Linked DNA regions of Nothobranchius furzeri. The protein of the gene in region 1 purifies or fractionates together with the protein of each later gene. This does not show direct contact. Links are inferred from orthologs where the notes say so. Each region holds a gene or a part of one and is shown in the gene's direction. Other genes may lie near its edges.

Region 1 (5,698 bases):
CAAGCAAAGTCTCATTCATGGGATATTTGGGATTTTAGCCATAAAGGACAACACCATATCTTCTGAGTTTGAGGGAGGAAACCTCATGAAAATAATTATTTGTAGGATTTAAAAGGGAATAAAGTGAGCCTGACATGTTGTGTCCTTGTGTGATCCAGAACAGCTGAGGCGTATAGACGAAGGCATGGACCAGATCAACGAGGACATGAAAAAGGCCGACAAAAACCTGGCTGACCTGTCCAGATGCTGCGGCCTGTGTGTCTGCCCCTGTGACAGGTACACTACACGCTCCAGGTGGCTCACAGCTCCATAGTACTGCTACTGGGAGGTCACATGGTTGGTTATAGAACTCTTATTTACTATTTCACTTTACTAACAATCACCTGCCTGAAACAAGGCCGGTGTAGTTAGAGCAGAAGTTAATATTCAGCTGAAATCTGATGGTAAAAAGTCTCTCGAATGTGAAACGATGGCTGTGTCGTGGTTGGGAGTTATGTTGGATCGTTTTTTTCTAAAAGATCATGTTTGGTTCTAAATATGGAAAAAATCTTTTTAAAATGCTTTCGCTTTGGAGAAGAGGAAACTTTGATTACCGTGATATAAGGTAGGGAGTCTTTTGTCTTTATTGCTTTATTGATCAGCCTCTGCAGTGGTTGACCATTAGTTTTACATGGCTCCGTCTTTGTGCAAGCGTGTGTGTGTGTGTGTGTGTGTTTAGATAAGCAACTTAATTTTTTCATGTATTCTAAATTTTACCTTCCAGACATTCATCCATCGAGAATGAATCTCGTTACAAGCGCACGTGGGGAACTGGATCGGAGGGGGGTGGCGACGGCAACAACTCAAATGTGGTCTCGAGGCAGCCCTCGGCTGTTCGCAATGGCCAGACTGTCCAGGTGCAAGCCTCGGCCCCGTCTGGTCCGTACATCAACAGGTCAGGTTCCTTTGTGTTCCTAAGAGTTCTGTTGGGTGGGGCAACAAACATTTTTGGCAGGCACTGATTGTGTAAGTTGTCCCACCTAAAAAGATGAGAGGTCTGTAATTTACATCACAGGTAAACATCAACTGTGAGAGACGGAATGTAAAAAAAAAAATAAAATTAAGCAGGATCAGTCCTCCTGTCCTCTTTGCAGAAGAGCACCCCCAAAGCATGATGCTTCCATCCCCATGCTTGGGTATGGTGCTCTTGGGTACAACTCAGCATTCTTCCCCCTCTAAACATGGCAAGTGGCGTTTATACCAGAGTTCTATTATGGTCTCATTTGACCACAATCCTCTTCTGGATCATCTCTGCCAAACTTCTGACGGGCCTGGACATGTACTGGCATAAGCAGGTGGACCTTTTGAGCACGGCAGAATTTTAAATCTGTGATGACAAAGTGTATTACTTATGGTAACCTTTGTTACTCTATCTGCTTCCTCTTCAGCACATCCTGAGCTCCTTCAAAGGAATCTCCTACCATCTTTATGCAGAAGACATCCAACTGTACATCTCCTTTAAGCCCCATGAGACATCTCAGCTGCAGATGTTACACACCTGCTTAGACTCTATCAAAACCTGGATGGCTGGGAGCTTTCTTCAGCTGAATGAAGATGAGACTGAGATCCTCATCTGTGCCCCAGACAAGCTGGTTCCCAAAGTCAGAGACTCTCTTGGTCAGCTTACTTCTCACACCAAACCTTCTGTCAGGAATCTTGGCGTGACCTTTGACCCAGCTCTCATCCTGGATTCTCATGTCAGTTCTCTTGTTGCTCTTCCTTCTTCCATCTCAGGAACGTTGCTAAGCTGAGTCCCATTCTGTCTCGCTCTGAACTTGAGACAGTTATCCACACCTTCATCTCCTCACGCTTAGACTACTGTAACTCTCTTTTCACGTGTCTGAGCAGAACCTCCCTGAACCGTCTACAGGTGGTTCAGAATGCCTGTGCTCGGCTTCTGACCAAGTCCTCCAAACACACCCACATCACCCCGCTTCTCCTCCAGCTTCACTGGCTGCCAGTCAACTTCAGGGTTCATTTCAAGATCCTGGTTCTGGTCTATAGGGCCTTACATGGACAAGCACCATCTTACATTGGTGATCTTCTTAGTCCCTACACCTCCAGCAGGTCCCTGAGGTCCAGTGATCAAAGCCTACTGGTTGTGCAGCACCAGGCTAAAGACCAAAGGTGACAGATCATTTGCTGCTGTGGCCCCCAGACTCTGGAACTCTCTCCCCCTGAGCCTGAGATCAGTGGACTCAGTGGTCTCCTTTAAAAAGCAGCTGAAGACTCACTTGTTCAAGCTGGCTTTTGTATGACCTTCTTCACCACTCTCTTTATTCTGCTCTCCCCACCTATTCCACCTTCCTCAGGATCCACTGATTTCCCTCTTTCCTATGCATTTTCTCTTTAACATTTTTTTAATCACAATTGTCAATTTTTTGCTCATTATAAATAAATTTTCAATCATTTTCTCAATAATTTTTCATTTAATTTCAATTCCACAATTGTTTTTGTGAAGCGCCTCGTGATCTTCATCTTGAGAGGCGCTATAGAAAAGATATTTTCTTCTTTCTTCTTCTACTGTGGTTCCAGGTCTCTTCAGGTCATTGACCAGTGTGCCCCCCCCCCCCCCCCTCCCCTTTCCAGGTTCAGGGAGATTGTATTTTTTCCCTCATTTTTTAAAAATTGTAGCAAAAGCTGATCCCTTCTCACCAAGCAGCTCGCTTATTGTAGGTTGTCTCGTCCCCGTCTTGCGCAGGTGTGTAATGTTGTCCTGGGTGTCGTTAGACGGCTCTGTGGTCTTGGCCATGGTGGAGGTTGGAGTCTGAATGTTTGAAGGTGTGGGCAGGTGTCTTTTATACAGAGAATGGGTTTAAACAGGAGCCATAAGTTGAGGATAGAAGAGGTTCTGTAAGGGACAGAATTCCTTGTTGCTTATTTTCTGCACCATTACAGCAGTAAAAGTCATACAGTGTGATTTATGTTTATATTCTGTCTCACAGCTGAAATGTAAATGACATTATGATGACAATTACAGATCTCTTTCATCTCTTAAGGGGGACATCTTGCACAACCAGTGGTTGCCAGATCCATTTGTGCCCTTCTGACGGTGAGATTGTGACGTTCCTGTTGGATTCTTAGGTGTTAAACTTCATGTCTGATGTGCAGGATAACCAACGACGCTCGAGAGGATGAGATGGAGGAAAACCTGAACACGGTCGGCAGCATCGTCAGCAACCTGAAGGACTTGGCAACAAATATGGGCAACGAAATCGACAAGCAGAACGTGCACATCGACAACATCACTGAGAAGGTGAGAGCATTTTTAAAATTTTAAATAGGCACAATAGTAATAACGTAAAATGTTATTATTGTTGGTGAATTCTTCTGTTCATCATTTTACTCCTTTGGAAAACAAACAAGGAGTTAACACCTGCTGTAAAATGACACTAAACACAGCAGTTGTTTCACATCAGCGCTGTAGAGTGAATGAAAGGTGCATCATCACAGGAGAGTCCCCAGTGGTCCCAGAAGAACCCCACTGTGGTCTAATACCAACCTCCATCTGTGCTGAGGCACGATGCTGGAAGCATCACATTACAAACAGTTTGGGGGGGGGTGACGACAAACCATCAGGACAACTCTGGACCAACTTCAGGACGTGTCTCTGCCTGTCCTGCAGTGGCTCAGCCAAAGCCAACACTTTAATCCCTAAATCCCGCCAGTGTGCTGATTCCTGAGGACGGCGGTTCGGAGTAGCTCTCCATCCAGCCTCTGGGATTTTAGGATTATTTGCCTGGAAGTATGAGATGAACCGGCCAAACGCGGAAGCTGGATCAGGACTTTTCCAGGAGACTTCTTGCTTAAGGTGTTCAGTCGGAACACTTTAAAGAAATGGCAATTTTATCTAAATTTGAACAACACAATGAAATGTGGAGGAGAATCGTTCCAGACTTTTGCTTTTCTGATGTTTGTAAATTCACATATTGAGATAGTTGGTCATCTGATTATTTCATTAGATCAGCAACCTTCCTCTGTTTATGTTTATGTATTTAGCAGACGCTTTTGTCCAAAGCGACTTACAAGTGATAATCGGCGTGTTGCCCTTGAGGCTAATAACAACAATTACAACAACAACAACCAATTTCCAGTCAGTCGTAGGTGGCAGTGAGGCAGCATGATGAATCATGGAGAGGAGGGAACAAGGAGTGGACAGTAGAGAGGGGGACGGGTGCAGGGAGGGTGCTAGTTTAGAAGATGCTCTCTGAAGAGCAGGGTCTTCAGGAGTTTCTTGAAAATCGAAAAGGAAGCCCCTGTTCTGGTAGTGCTTGGTAGGTCATTCCACATTTGTGGAACGATGCATGAGAAGAGTCTGGATTGTCCTGAGCGTGGTGTAGGCACTGCTAGCCGACGATCCTGTGATGACCGGAGCGGCTGGGCCGAGACGTAAGCCCCGACTCTGTGCTGCTTGATTTCAGGAAAACATGCAGATCCGTGTTAAGATGTGCGTTTGTGCAGAGAAAAGCTTTTGAAAAGTTATTTAAATGTGTTTGCAGATTCCTACAACATGACAGTTTGTTTACATCTTCTGTTTTCTCTCCTTTAGGCCGAGTTGAACAAAATACGCATTGACGTAGCGAACGACAGAGCCAACAAGCTCATCAAATAAACACAGAATCCTGCTCCTGCCTGTTTCCTCATCACGTCCTGTTGCTACGTACATGCACATTGTACACTTCTGCACATGCACACACACCTTTTCACTGTTTAATGAGCTGGGTCCTGGAGACGGCGGCGGCTGCATTGTGTCGGTGACAACCAAAGAGGGAGCGACTGAGCGCCCAGCACAGAGTACACACCAGGCCTGTGACTACATATCACATGATATTCACAAAGTCAGCTGTTTTCTTATTCCTGTCTGTCTGTCTGTGTGTGTGTGTGTGTGTGTGTGTGTGTGTGTGTGTGTGTGTGTGTGTGTGTGTGTGTGTGTGTGTGTGTGTGTGTGTGTGTGTGTGTGTGTGTGTGTGTGTGTGTGTGTGTGTGTGGCTACTGAGATGCTCTCATCACAGCTAGTTTCTAAAGAAATCCAAACACACAAACCCGATTAGTTATCCCGCTCACTTCCTCCTTTTGTTCCATCGTTAAATGTATGGTTGTTGTTTTGAGTTCATATTTAATTATTCATGAATTAAGCTGTTTTTTATAACTATTCACTCGTCGTTTCTGCTACTTTAGATGTAATCAATATTTCAAAAAGTCATCCTAAATGCCGTGCTTTTGGAGTGAGTTGTGGCAGATCTTTTTTATGCTGGAATTCTAATCTGATAGAAACAAGATGTGTTTTTTGTTGTTGTTTGTTTTTTTTAAGCTTCAGACTGATGGGAAGTCGAGGTTTGACCTGCTGATGCACGAAGCCTTACAATCTCTTGTTTCTTTTGCTTCAAATGTGACAGAAGGTTCTGGTTTACTTTCTATCAACACGATAAACACAGCAGGGCTTTAACCGTTGTCTTACTCAATGTAAAGTCTCATCAGGTTGTTTTCTCTCTGCAGTGTTGATGTAAATATGAAATATTCTCTAAGTGTGTATTAAACATCGGCAGTCGCTCTTGTTAATCCACTTTCATCTCTTTGTTACATCTGAGTTAATCGAGATTAATAGCTCCCTAGTGGAGATTTAACGGCTCCTATATAAATCGGGTTACAAGTGGAAAAT
Region 2 (6,031 bases), on another chromosome or scaffold:
CAAATGGGACACTGGCTTGTTCCCTATTGGGGCTGCATTAATCTTTTATCTATCTATCTATCTATCTATCTATCTATCTATCTATCTATCTATCTATCTATCTATCTATCTATCTATCTATCTATCTATCTATCTATCTATCTATCTATCTATCTATCTATCTATCTATCTATCTATCTATCTATCCATCCATCCATCCATCCATCCATCCATCCATCCATCCATCCATCCATCCATCCATCCATCCATCCATCCATCCATCCATCCATCCATCCATCCATCCATCCACCCACCCACCCACCCACCCGTCTGTCTGTCTGTCTGTTTGTCTGTCTGTCTGTCTGTCTGTCTGTCTGTCTGTCTGTCTATCTATCTATCTATCTATCTATCTATCTATCTATCTATCTATCTATCTGTCTGTCTGTCTGTCTGTCTGTCTGTCTGTCTGTCTGTCTGTCTGTCTGTCTTTTTTATTTTACTTGTACATATATATATATTGGGTCCATGTGGCAGGGGTGAGGAGTGAGCACCACCTCACCCCTGCCACATGGACCTCAAGGGATAAACCATCAATCCTGCTCAATGGTCAACTTTCCTTGCAGGGTCACCCATAAAGACAGTGGGAGGATTAAAGATTAATCAGAATCAGAATCAGATGAATTTTATTGCCAGCGCTCCTTTCAGAGCATAGGAACTTGACTCCATAGTACAACCTGACCAAGGTTACACACACACATATAGACAAGACAGATACAGGCACACCATGGGAGCAGCCATAACGGCGCTCCGTTGTAGATGAGTAAGGGAATACATGAGGGAAGTTCAGGGAGGGAGAAAAAAGGCATTAGCAGGGTTACACCAGCAGGGTGTAGCACTCCAATGCAAAAAAACACCCGACATGTAAGCAACAAACGTCACAGTTCACAACATGAGACCCGGTAGGTAGGGGGGAGGGGCTGGGATCCTGGTTTCCTCAGCGGGGGCTGCCTGTGTGGCGCTCAACCAGCTGGCTCCGCAGGTGGGAGGGAGGTCATGGGGAAGCACAGAGAGCAGTGAGTCCTTTAGCTTGATGACCTCTGTGGAGACCACAATCTGAAGGTGGGGGGGTGGGTGGATAGAGATTCACAGCATTTGTCTGCATTCCTTCCAGCGTGGAGGTTTTGCACGCAACTCCAAGGCTGCTTATGGCGTCAGATTCGATAACAGAACTTTGTTTGGGTCAGACAGAGATAATTTTTCCTCTCTGCCTTAAGTCTGTATTGATCATTCAAGTCCTCCAGTGAAGCCAATTCAGTGATTTAACATCTCCACACCATCCGGTGACCCTTTCCGAGATGTTATCAATCCTGCACGCTAACACCGGTAACGCAGCTAAGACATTGTCCAGCTTGCGATTCACCTCGAGCAACGTCCCAGTCTGTGAGGTATCCACACGGACGGTGCCGTCCATGGTTGCGGGTCGCCCTCCAATCGCTCCCGTCATCCCAATTTTACGGAAAGCCAGATATCCTCCCACTCTAATCAGAAGAAATCCAATGATCATCAGGCCAAATATCCACATATCTTCGACGCCCTCAATGGACAGCTGAGAGAGACAGATGATATTCCACTTTTTCCAGGAATCAAACATATATCCCGCTGCATGTGTCCCCTGAGGACAAGCGTGAGCCCCCTCCTCCGTCCTCATTGTAGAAGAAATCTTATCAATTGCGTTGAATGACCAATTAATTAAGTCCATGTTGAAAAATGCTGAAAAAGGTGATTGCAGAGGAAATGCAGAGAAGCGCTCTGTAGGCAGACGGGACAAAAAGAGCCTTGGGAAAACACAGATAAGGGAGGAAAAGGCAGAAGGGTCTGCTCCCTGTGAGCGCCGGAAGAGATATTTAAAAGATATTTATTTTATTTTATTTTATTTTATTTTATTTTATTTTATTTATCCACCCATTTTGGAACTGGCTCTATTGTTGCCAGCTGCTAGCTACTCAGCGTAGTCGTAACAAATCTCTCTTTCTCCCAGCTGAGGTTGTTCAAAGAGGTATATAGGACAGATAATATTGAAACTGTTGAGAAAAATCCACTTCTAAATATCTAAACTCCCTCTTTAAAACTCTTTGGGCAAACAGCCCTTAGATGAATAACAAAAAGCAGCTTATAAATAAATGAGGTGTTGTCCATGAGTAAGACACTCATTCATTTGCTCAGGTGGAACAGCTCCCCATCACATCCACATCGTGTTTACTATGAATGATAACAGCCTCGCCACACCTCCTTCCCAAGAAGCCATTTTGTTGACACAGTCTTGCAGTCAACATTAAAACTCCTTTTTAGGAGCTTCAAACGAAATCGTGACCATCAAATGTCCCATCTGTGCAAGAATAGCGCGTTTTCTCCCAGTAACAGCGCATAGGGAATACAAGAGCGGTGTTCCGGGCTGGAAAACGGTGGGTTTGGAGTGCATGGCCACCCATTTTAACATGAGGCTCACCGCTGCTGACGTCACCGAGCCGTCTTTGTCCACCTAATCCAGGCGGCTGTGTATTACCCCTTCATTACCACACAGACCCAGGCTCCGGACATAGCCTGCAGGTAACGCTTCGCCATAGAATTAGGGATAGATAATAACAAATAATAAAATAATTATTGTAGCGAGGAGACAAACCAGTGCTCCTCCTCGGACATATAGACAGGGAACGCCACAATAACCAACCAAAGGCTGCCAGAGGCTAGAGAGGAGCGCAGAATCCATCCATCTGTCAGCCACTTAGGACCAGATCACCTTTCCAGTCCGGATTTCACTGCAGCTGTCTAGCTAATAACACCAGGAAAATGTAAGTAGCAACATTTTAATCTTTATTTAAAAAATAAATAAATAAGCTGATAACTGCTTTATGTGGTTTGGGGGATTTCCTGCTGTCTTCTGTTTCGCGCAGCCTTAACATTTCCCAGCTTTGATCTAAATCATCCTTAAACGCCGTATTTTATTTTATTTGCGTCGCTTGTTTTTCTCTGAGCCTGAATATAGCGGCCAACGCATCGGCCTAACCTTGGAGGAGCAGAAAGAGAAGCACCGGCTCTTATCTCGATTATAAAACACCATCTCATTTATTTATTCAGTCTGTTTATTTTCCATTTTACACAGAACGCTCTGTGTTTACCGCCTGCTTCTTTTCAGTCCGTTTTCCTAGTGCGCACGCACGCACGCGCATATATTTTTTCCAGTTTGAACTGGTTTGAAAAGAAAAAAGATATCACACGCACGGACACACACATTTATTACATGTATTGCAGGCGAATTAAAAGTCCAATAAGAAAATGAATGAACTATCAACTATGTTTGAACTTTATTATTTGTGTTTGCTTTTATTGCCACCGACCGACCAGCTGGTGACGATTAAGCGGATTTTAGAAACAGCAAGGACACAGTGCTCAACAAACCAGAACTGGAGCTTCATTTTAATTTGCTAGCCTTCTCCTGAAATAAAAAAATAACAAACAAACGGAGAAATTATCGACTAATAGTCAATAAACGTGACTGATGGTAATATTAGCTCAGGCCTAGTTTTTGTGCTATTTCCACCCTACAGCGGGGGGTGGGGATAGCCTAGCCTCCTACTGTATGTCGTCGATTGTCACGAGAGGGCGGTCGGGTCCAAATTTCAGACTGGCTATGACCTTTTGGTATAACTAGCCCCTTTAAATACATTTCTGAAGGCATTTTGTGTGTTTCATATGTTTTAACTCGATCATTTAGTAGACACTAAAGCTAAAGTGAGGGTTTCTGTGACACCTCCTTCCACCAGTCTCCCTGCACATCAATGACGTTTAACCAGCCTGATGCTAGCACACTAGTTTCTACTGTCCATGGCGTCTTCCTCTGTGAGCTACCAGCTAGCAGGAGACTCCACACCCTCATTCTGACTCAGTTTGTGCTCCATGTCAGCCACCATGTTTTAAAGGACATTAAAGTGGAACCTGTTATGTTAGTGAAGTCAAGAAACATCGACCAGGACCGGGCTGGCTGAGGGTCGGATGAGACAGAATGATGCTGACGAACTGTCCAGTGCTGAAATGTCGCTGTCCAGTGCTGAAATCCAGTAACGACAGAGATATTCTCCAAGGGTGGGAGTTATACAGTGATAACATTAATATTCGACATTTCATTATTATTATTACAGACATTTTGTTCTTATTAGGGTGAATTACCGTAATGTTTCAGTGTGTTATAATCAAAAAGCATAAATAGGGAGCCTAAGTCTCCTCCCCTTCCAGTTGGCTAATGGATCCCCAGAAGAACGACAAAATGAATACAAGTCAACGGGGCTGAAAGAGCTATTTTCTGATCCATTTAGCCTTACGCCCTGGAATATGTTGTACTTCAATTTTAATGAAAAAATAAATGATATGATTCAACCATGCCAATCACGTACTTTGAGATTTATCAGCTTGTAAATGATCATAATTAGCATGGCAACAAATCGGATGTTGGGTACATTTATGAGTGTCCCCTAGAGTCTGTTAGTAAAACCAAAGGTGAAACTTATCTCCTCGCTGCGTGTTCATCTTTTTAACACCTTAATCTAACAGCTGAAATGTCTCATCAGCCTTCATTAGGCTCTACAGGAGTGGTTCATCACTAAATGAAATAAATCAGCTTTGTTCACGATCTAAAACATGAAGGAAGCATACTGGAAGCAGACTGAAGGCCAGGCATGTCAGCTCCACTTTACTAAGTCCAACCAGTCTGCCACTCTGAAGCTGTAAATGCGGTATTTTGGTGACAGAGGGTGGTGGGGTCTCAGTGACATTTAATTAACCATGTAAAGAGTCATTTCAGTACATACTGCCTCAATAAAGGGATTTAAAATATGAACAAGTTGTATAGTATGAATTTAATACGTTTTAAATAAATATGGTTAAGTCTACATCACGCATCAAGCAGTTTAAATTAAAAAAATGCAAAAACACTTTAAGAACAAATGTCTAAACCTGAGTTAGTTTTATATTTTTAACACTTGCAGATTGACAATGTTTCTCCTCAGTGAACAAGTTAAGGGTGGGGGTCCTAGTGAACTTTTCTGTCTTTTTAAAAATTCACCTGCTTTTCTTGGCAGACAAAGGACATAAATTACAGCTTTGTCTTGAAAGAAGGTTGAATATTTTTAGCTTTCACAGCCAATCTTACATCAGAAGTAGACTGTACAGGGAGTCATGTGAAACCTCACCTTCCCAGTAGGTCACGTTATCTGCCGTTGTCAGATAAGGTTTCCTCTTTCTTGTCCTGTTTTTGTTTTGTTCTGTTTAATTTAAAGAATACAATTAAGATGGGTGTTCTGTTTTCTTTCTTTTCATCACAATCATGGAAGCCTCAAATGAGTTTATCGTCTTTTAACAAACCAAAGACTTTGTGGCAGAGATCAGAGACAGCTGCACCTGGCTGGATGGAACACAGTAGGTGGTTTTTACAGGATGTGGAAACTGATGAGAAGCCTTGTCACTGCATTAGCAGTTCTGCCTGGTGTTAGCTGAGAGGCGATGACAGCGAGAACCTCTACACGCATTGCACCTTTGTTGTGGTGCTTATTGCACAGCAGCTATACAGATGCTACTTTTTAAATATTGAACTAAATTAATAAAAGTAAATTGTGAGGCTAAACAATAAAAGTGACATTTGCTTCACGAAAGAAAACAATATATTTTCTAACCTTTAAAAAAATGATGGTAATAAGATGTAACAGATTTTTTAAAAGTGATCAGACATTTCCCTTTGTGTCTGTTGGGTTTTTGTGCTGCTTTGGATGCAAAATGTTGCACTTTTTTTTTTGGTCAAAATGTTGTAATTCACCTAAGAACCTTTTAGATAAATACAACTTAGACAAACTTGTTTTGTTCACTTTTTACAGCTCAGTCTTTTGACTATTATGTGTCCACTTGTTGACCAAAATCAGACACAAAACAAGCTTAACCCTTCCACTTTCCTATCAGGTGACCCCACCAGGATAGGGGGTGGCTAAGCAGGGTTTAACGTTTATGC
Region 3 (5,734 bases), on another chromosome or scaffold:
CACTCTATTAGTCAATGCTCTAGGCTTGCATAAATGATTTGGTTTGCTGTAGAGGCCAGGGGAGGGACGTAGGGGAAATATAAATTATGAAAGATTGCCTACTTTATATAACTAAACAGGGTCAGAAAGTCAAATTTAAGCATTTTTAAGTTACATTTTAATTCTAAACTATGTACCTCAGCTTTAAAGTGATTGACTGATCATTGGACAGTCTCTTTTAGGATTTTCTGCTAGAGAGAGTTCAGTTTTTGATCGATTAAAGCAAGGCCAGGTCTTGAAGAAAAAAAGCAACCCCAGCCCTTCACACTACAGCTACCATGTTTGACTGTGGTCATTTTTTAAAATCTGAAACAGTGTTAATTTTATTCCAGATGTAACAAGCCACACATGCTTTTTACAGTTACACATTTGTTTCTTCAGTCTAAAGAATATTTTTGCAAAGATTTGGGGGATTCCGAACGTTAAACGTGTCTTTGATTTAACCATCTTTTGTACGTTCACTCTGTGTATCTTTTCAACTTGCATTTCTTGATTCTTTTCTGTGTTTGAAAAGAACCAAGAAATGCATGTCTTTGTTAATGGTGAGCAAGGGTTTTGTAGCGCTGAAATCTAGACAAACCATAGCAGTAGCAAAAGATTTCATTTTATTTTATTTTATTTATGGGATTGCTTGCCAGGCTAAGGGTTTTGACCACTGAATGCTATTGTGGAGGTGAGTTTGTCCCCTTGTCCATGTTTTATTGTTGAATCATGGTGTTGGGTATTTACATTTAATCAGTCCAGGCGTACCTCAAAGAAAGTCCAACACACACAAGGGGGTTAGGGATATTAGATTACCATTTACCAATATGATCAATCACCAATAATCAACAACCAGACTGCAAACTCGGAGAGAAAGGAGATACACACCAATGGGATGTCTGTTCGGTCTCTCGACGAGCAGAAGCTCGCAAAAAGGTTTTATTCAAAAGTAACATAGCACACACATTAAAGGAAAACACACATCCCTCCTTCACAGAAAGCAAACTTTCCCAGGTTCTTGGTATAACAGAGAAACGCTCCGTCTGGACTTCACTAGGGAGCTTTTTGTGATAACAGAACTGCAGACATACAAGGTCGAACTTCCCTGCCGGAGCCACAGAAAAGTAACAAAATATGAACAAGGAATGAACCTTCGTTTGAATTAAAAAACACCAGATGGTACCCAGACAAAATCATTTTCCATGCATCCAATACTGTTTTTATCCAACACATGGAGTCAAAGTGAGTATTGGAGTCATATAGAGGTTGTTTTGAGTTCTTTTGTTCTTGAATTCTTTAGAACATGTATTGCTTTTTCAGATCTTTCCACATACCTTGTGTTTTCAGACATTCTACTGAAGAGCTTTGCTTCCAAATGTATGGTGGTAATCAGACCTGGGTGTGGCAAATGTAACTCAACATTCCAAATAAAAGCTAGTCACAGTTAATCCATGATTTAGCAAGAGGAGAAGGGTTAAGTTAGGTTAGTTCATATCCCTTAATTTTTTAATGTGTTATTTTAAAACAGCATTTTTTATTTACTCAGGTCATCTTTGTATTGTGTTGGTATTAGTTTGCTGATCACTAACATTTAAGTGTAATTAAAAAGCATAAACAGAAAGAATCTGACAAAACATTTTCACAGCACAGTACACACAACAACAACCCGCACATTCATGGATACTCTGATAACCAACAGCCTGATAAATTCCTTTACTCCCTCTTAAATCAGTACATCACATGACCCTTCAGCAGCCAGCGAACCTGGACATCTATTTTTATTTTCCTTTTTTATGTAACTATAGTTGCACAGATCAAAATGAATTCTACATTAAAAGATGAGTTGTATCCAAATGAACACTGTAATTTAACACAGTAGCCTTTGTTTTCATGTCACACGTTGACCACGAGTTCACGGCTGTGTTCTCTTCTCATTTTTACTAAGCACACAAACCAAAAGTATATATATATATATATATATATATATATATATATATATATATATATATATATATATATATATATATAAGAGAGATTTAGGACATTACTCTTGCTTTTATTAGCTTCAATGCTCAAAAACGCTATTTTTTAAATTTATTTTTAAAGAATTTTGCTCATCAAATTGGAAAACATTGATGAAAAGTTATAAAAAAACTTGAAGTTCCTTATTTATACAACAGTTTTCCAAACTTATTGTTTAGGTCACATATCATAGGTGTAACATTTAATCACGTTTGAGGAATAAAAAGACAGAAACAGATTTAGTTGTTTCAAGAAGACTCTGACGTCATTTATGTTTGATTTTCCAATTCCCGACAGCCCGGAAGGCTTCACGACTAACGACCGCACTCGCTGTTACGGACTACTTTACAAACAAAAACAACAGCAGCGGTTTCGCTAAATTAAAATATCTTTTCAAAATGTAAGTATTTTATGTTTCATTCACAACGCCTTTTGAGTCAGCTCAACCAAAAAACTGTTTACTTTGTTTTATAGTATAATACGATGTGATTAAACAACGCCCAAAACTTTTTTACTAGCATGCAACAAGTGCTGCTAGCACTTAGCTTGGGCCTCAAACGTAAGCTAAGCTAGCTGTAGCATCGTTACATTGATACTTTTAACTTCGTTTAACAAAAACTTTATTGTGGTATCTTTTTTTATCAATCCGACGCCAAAAGAAACAAGTATATATACCACAAGCTTGACTAATCTCCACAGCTGCGCAACTTATTACTGAAGAGTTTCCTTCCGAAACTAGTGATTTTCCGTTTGTTTGGCCTTGCTAAGATAGCTACTTGCACCCAATTCGAGTGTTTGAAATGACAAGATGAATAAATCACACATTTTAATTGTTTTACTTCACGTGGAAGGTGTATTAACAGAAAGTAATGGTGACAATAACTTTAAACGGGGTGATCCCTTACATATTTTCCAAAGAAGTCACAAGTTAGTCTCATCAGTTTCTTTATATTTGTCATTAACACTGCAACATTTAGTCTCCTATTAGATCAAGATGTTTAATTTAGAGTCAGTCAGGAGAGGTTGAGACTTTTCTTATAGATTAGATTTAGATTTTGCACACACACATAGAATGATAAGTAATTGCATATGCTAACTCCATTTTAAGATAAATTTTACTGTAAAATGCTTTTACATATTTTGTTATTGGTGTATATATAAGGTGATATTAATAAAATAAGAGCATTCTGATTTAATCTTTTGATGATTGATGCTACAGTTTTGGTGACTACTGTCTAAACCTTTTATTCACATGCACACTGATATTATATGAATGCTATTATCTAAAGTTATTCTGTTTTAGAAACATTGTATTCATGTAGAAGTTTTAAACTGAAACAATGTACACCACTCGTGATTTTACTGTAAGGCTTTTAGTAGAAAATAAGAAAAATGTGGGTTTGAAGTAACAAAATTATAAACTTTCTAAAAATGTAGTACCTGGCTGGGATTAAATGATACTTTAAAAACTCGGTTTGGAAAATAAAGCCTAACTCGGTTTGGAAAATAAAGCCTAGTTGCAGATGTCCAAAATAAGTTTCTGCCATTGCAGATTTTTTACTATGCTTTTCTGAGTGCTGTTTTAACAAGGAGGAGTCTTTGTATTTTACTTCTGCTTCAAGGAGAGCTTTTCCACAAATATCTTCTCTGATGCCATAACCCAATTTATGTAGATCTTTCTTAACTACAATGATTATGTGAATAAAGTAATCAATTACTTTGTACAGATAATAGATTTAAGTGGTAATTCTTAGTTTTATTTATTCTAAATTCACATTTTTGACATTGTGTTAATAAAAATGATGCAGGGGCTTGTGCACAAATTGGAAACATGATCATAATTTTAATAAACAGTAAATATGTGCAATGGCTAAAGGAAAGGGAAGCTCAGTTACTCAAAGATTCAGAATTAAGTTGTGAACAACAAATCTGTTTTTGTTCCTTAAGTTTCCTCTCCTGTGGTTAAAGCAGCTTAAAGGGCATGAAAAACCAACAAGCAGTGAAAACCACACAGATGCATAGCACTAATGGTGCAGTGCTGTCTCAAACCAAAGTGGGGCAGCACATGACTATTGCAAAAGTTTGTATTTGCTGATAAATATCACATTCATTTCATTTTAGAAATAAAGAATTTAGCAGTGTTTAAAGATTAGATTTATATTTTAAACCCTTAAAATGGTTTTTAGAAGTAAACCAATAAAGCTGAAGAGCTCGACTTTTACACGTAACTTTGTTTTGTAAATGATGGCGTAAATGTCTGCTTACACTCTGATGTAGAAGTAACTGTATTGGTCACGTGTTTATCAGCAATGGTCCTAATTACCTGTGATCTGAAAATAACACCCAAGCACGCACTCCAAATTTTAGGTGCACTGCTCAAAGCTAGGAATGGCACACTTGCTTTTTTATTTGATCAAAACACACATACAATATTGTCCCAGAATGAGACTGATGATGCAAACTCATACACAGAAAGAGACGTGGATTGAATTGATTTTATTAGGTTGCATCGTGGCTTAAACCTCATTTCCTGTCCTGCAAGCTACCTGTTGCATCAGTTTAACCTGGCTTTCCACAGAATGCATAATTGCAGTGTAACATCTGCAAAGTGTAATATGCAGTGACGGATGACATCACGCACCTACACCCCTGCCCCTAGCCCCTCGCTGGAGGGCAAGAAGCCAGCACCTCCCCGTTGACCACTGTTGTGTTTATCTGTTAATTATCAATAAACAGAGCTAAATGGAGGTGAAATAAAATCAGTTAGCATGGTTAACACTAGGACTGGGCGATAGGGCCTAAAATTAATAACGATATATTAAGGATTCCACCTCGATAACGATAAATGGACGATAACTACAGTTATGCGCAGAAACAAAGTTGTCCACTAGATGGGGCTGTCCCATGTATTACATTGAGTCACATTTTTACGTGACTCAAGGTGATACAGCTTCTTAAAGGGACATGAGCATTGCCAACCTACACACATCTTTTCATTTTTCTTATTATCAAATTTATTGACATGAGAAAATTGTTTTCGATAAGAGTCAGAAATTTCGATAACGATGTAACGCACCCAAAGGCCAAGTATTTACATCACAAATGAACAGAAATTAACTTTTTATTTGCAGACACAAACTGTGTCACACATCCAGGGAAGCATTACATCTGTCTAGCCTCCAAACAAGAAAAGCAAGGATCTACGACATACAAGCAAATAAGTAGCCATAATGTGTTTTCCTTATCTTTTTAAGTAGTCCATGCAGAAAACAAGACTTTCTGCACTTTTACTCTGAATACAGTTTGCCTTCCTTGAATCATAAATGACTTTACAACTTTATAGGTTGATATAATCAAATGTGTTGAATGAACAAGGTGTTTAAATCCCAAAGTGTTTGAATAATTTATGTATCAATCAGTGTTGTATTAAATTAATATTTTTCCTGCAATGAATACATACACACAACACATTTTCGATTTATTGCCCGGCCCTCGTTAACACACATAGAGCTGTAGGCTTCACGAGTAGATGAAATAAGAACAGTATAGTTAAATTTTACAGGTTTCCAGCTGAAGGCAGTCATTAATGACCAATTCTAATGGATAAACCACCCACATGGTAGCAGACAAAAGCCGTTTTACAAAACAATGCTGTTAATTTGCCACAAAGCTGAGCTGGCATCAGGGAGCC

The links.
Region 2: the proteins of synaptosomal-associated protein 23 (region 1) and vamp2 purify together in Homo sapiens (affinity purification with western blotting; 4 studies listed by BioGRID and IntAct, with this or other methods). This does not show direct contact. The link is inferred for Nothobranchius furzeri from reciprocal best matches to the Homo sapiens genes SNAP23 and VAMP2.
Region 3: the proteins of synaptosomal-associated protein 23 (region 1) and vamp3 purify together in Homo sapiens (affinity purification with western blotting; 6 studies listed by BioGRID and IntAct, with this or other methods). This does not show direct contact. The link is inferred for Nothobranchius furzeri from reciprocal best matches to the Homo sapiens genes SNAP23 and VAMP3.

Annotation. Positions count from the first base shown.
Region 1 is NC_091758.1:23,396,220-23,401,917, forward strand, and holds the end of synaptosomal-associated protein 23, read left to right. Parts: intron 1-158; coding exon 159-276; intron 277-763; coding exon 764-934; intron 935-3,150; coding exon 3,151-3,295; intron 3,296-4,588; coding exon 4,589-4,651; 3' UTR 4,652-4,665; downstream 4,666-5,698. UniProt on the Homo sapiens protein: Essential component of the high affinity receptor for the general membrane fusion machinery and an important regulator of transport vesicle docking and fusion.
Region 2 is NC_091750.1:51,656,696-51,662,726, reverse strand, and holds the start of vamp2 (vesicle-associated membrane protein 2), read left to right. Parts: upstream 1-2,623; 5' UTR 2,624-2,826; coding exon 2,827-2,828; intron 2,829-6,031. UniProt on the Homo sapiens protein: Involved in the targeting and/or fusion of transport vesicles to their target membrane. Major SNARE protein of synaptic vesicles which mediates fusion of synaptic vesicles to release neurotransmitters.
Region 3 is NC_091743.1:51,774,281-51,780,014, forward strand, and holds the start of vamp3 (vesicle-associated membrane protein 3), read left to right. Parts: upstream 1-2,326; 5' UTR 2,327-2,441; coding exon 2,442-2,443; intron 2,444-5,734. UniProt on the Homo sapiens protein: SNARE involved in vesicular transport from the late endosomes to the trans-Golgi network.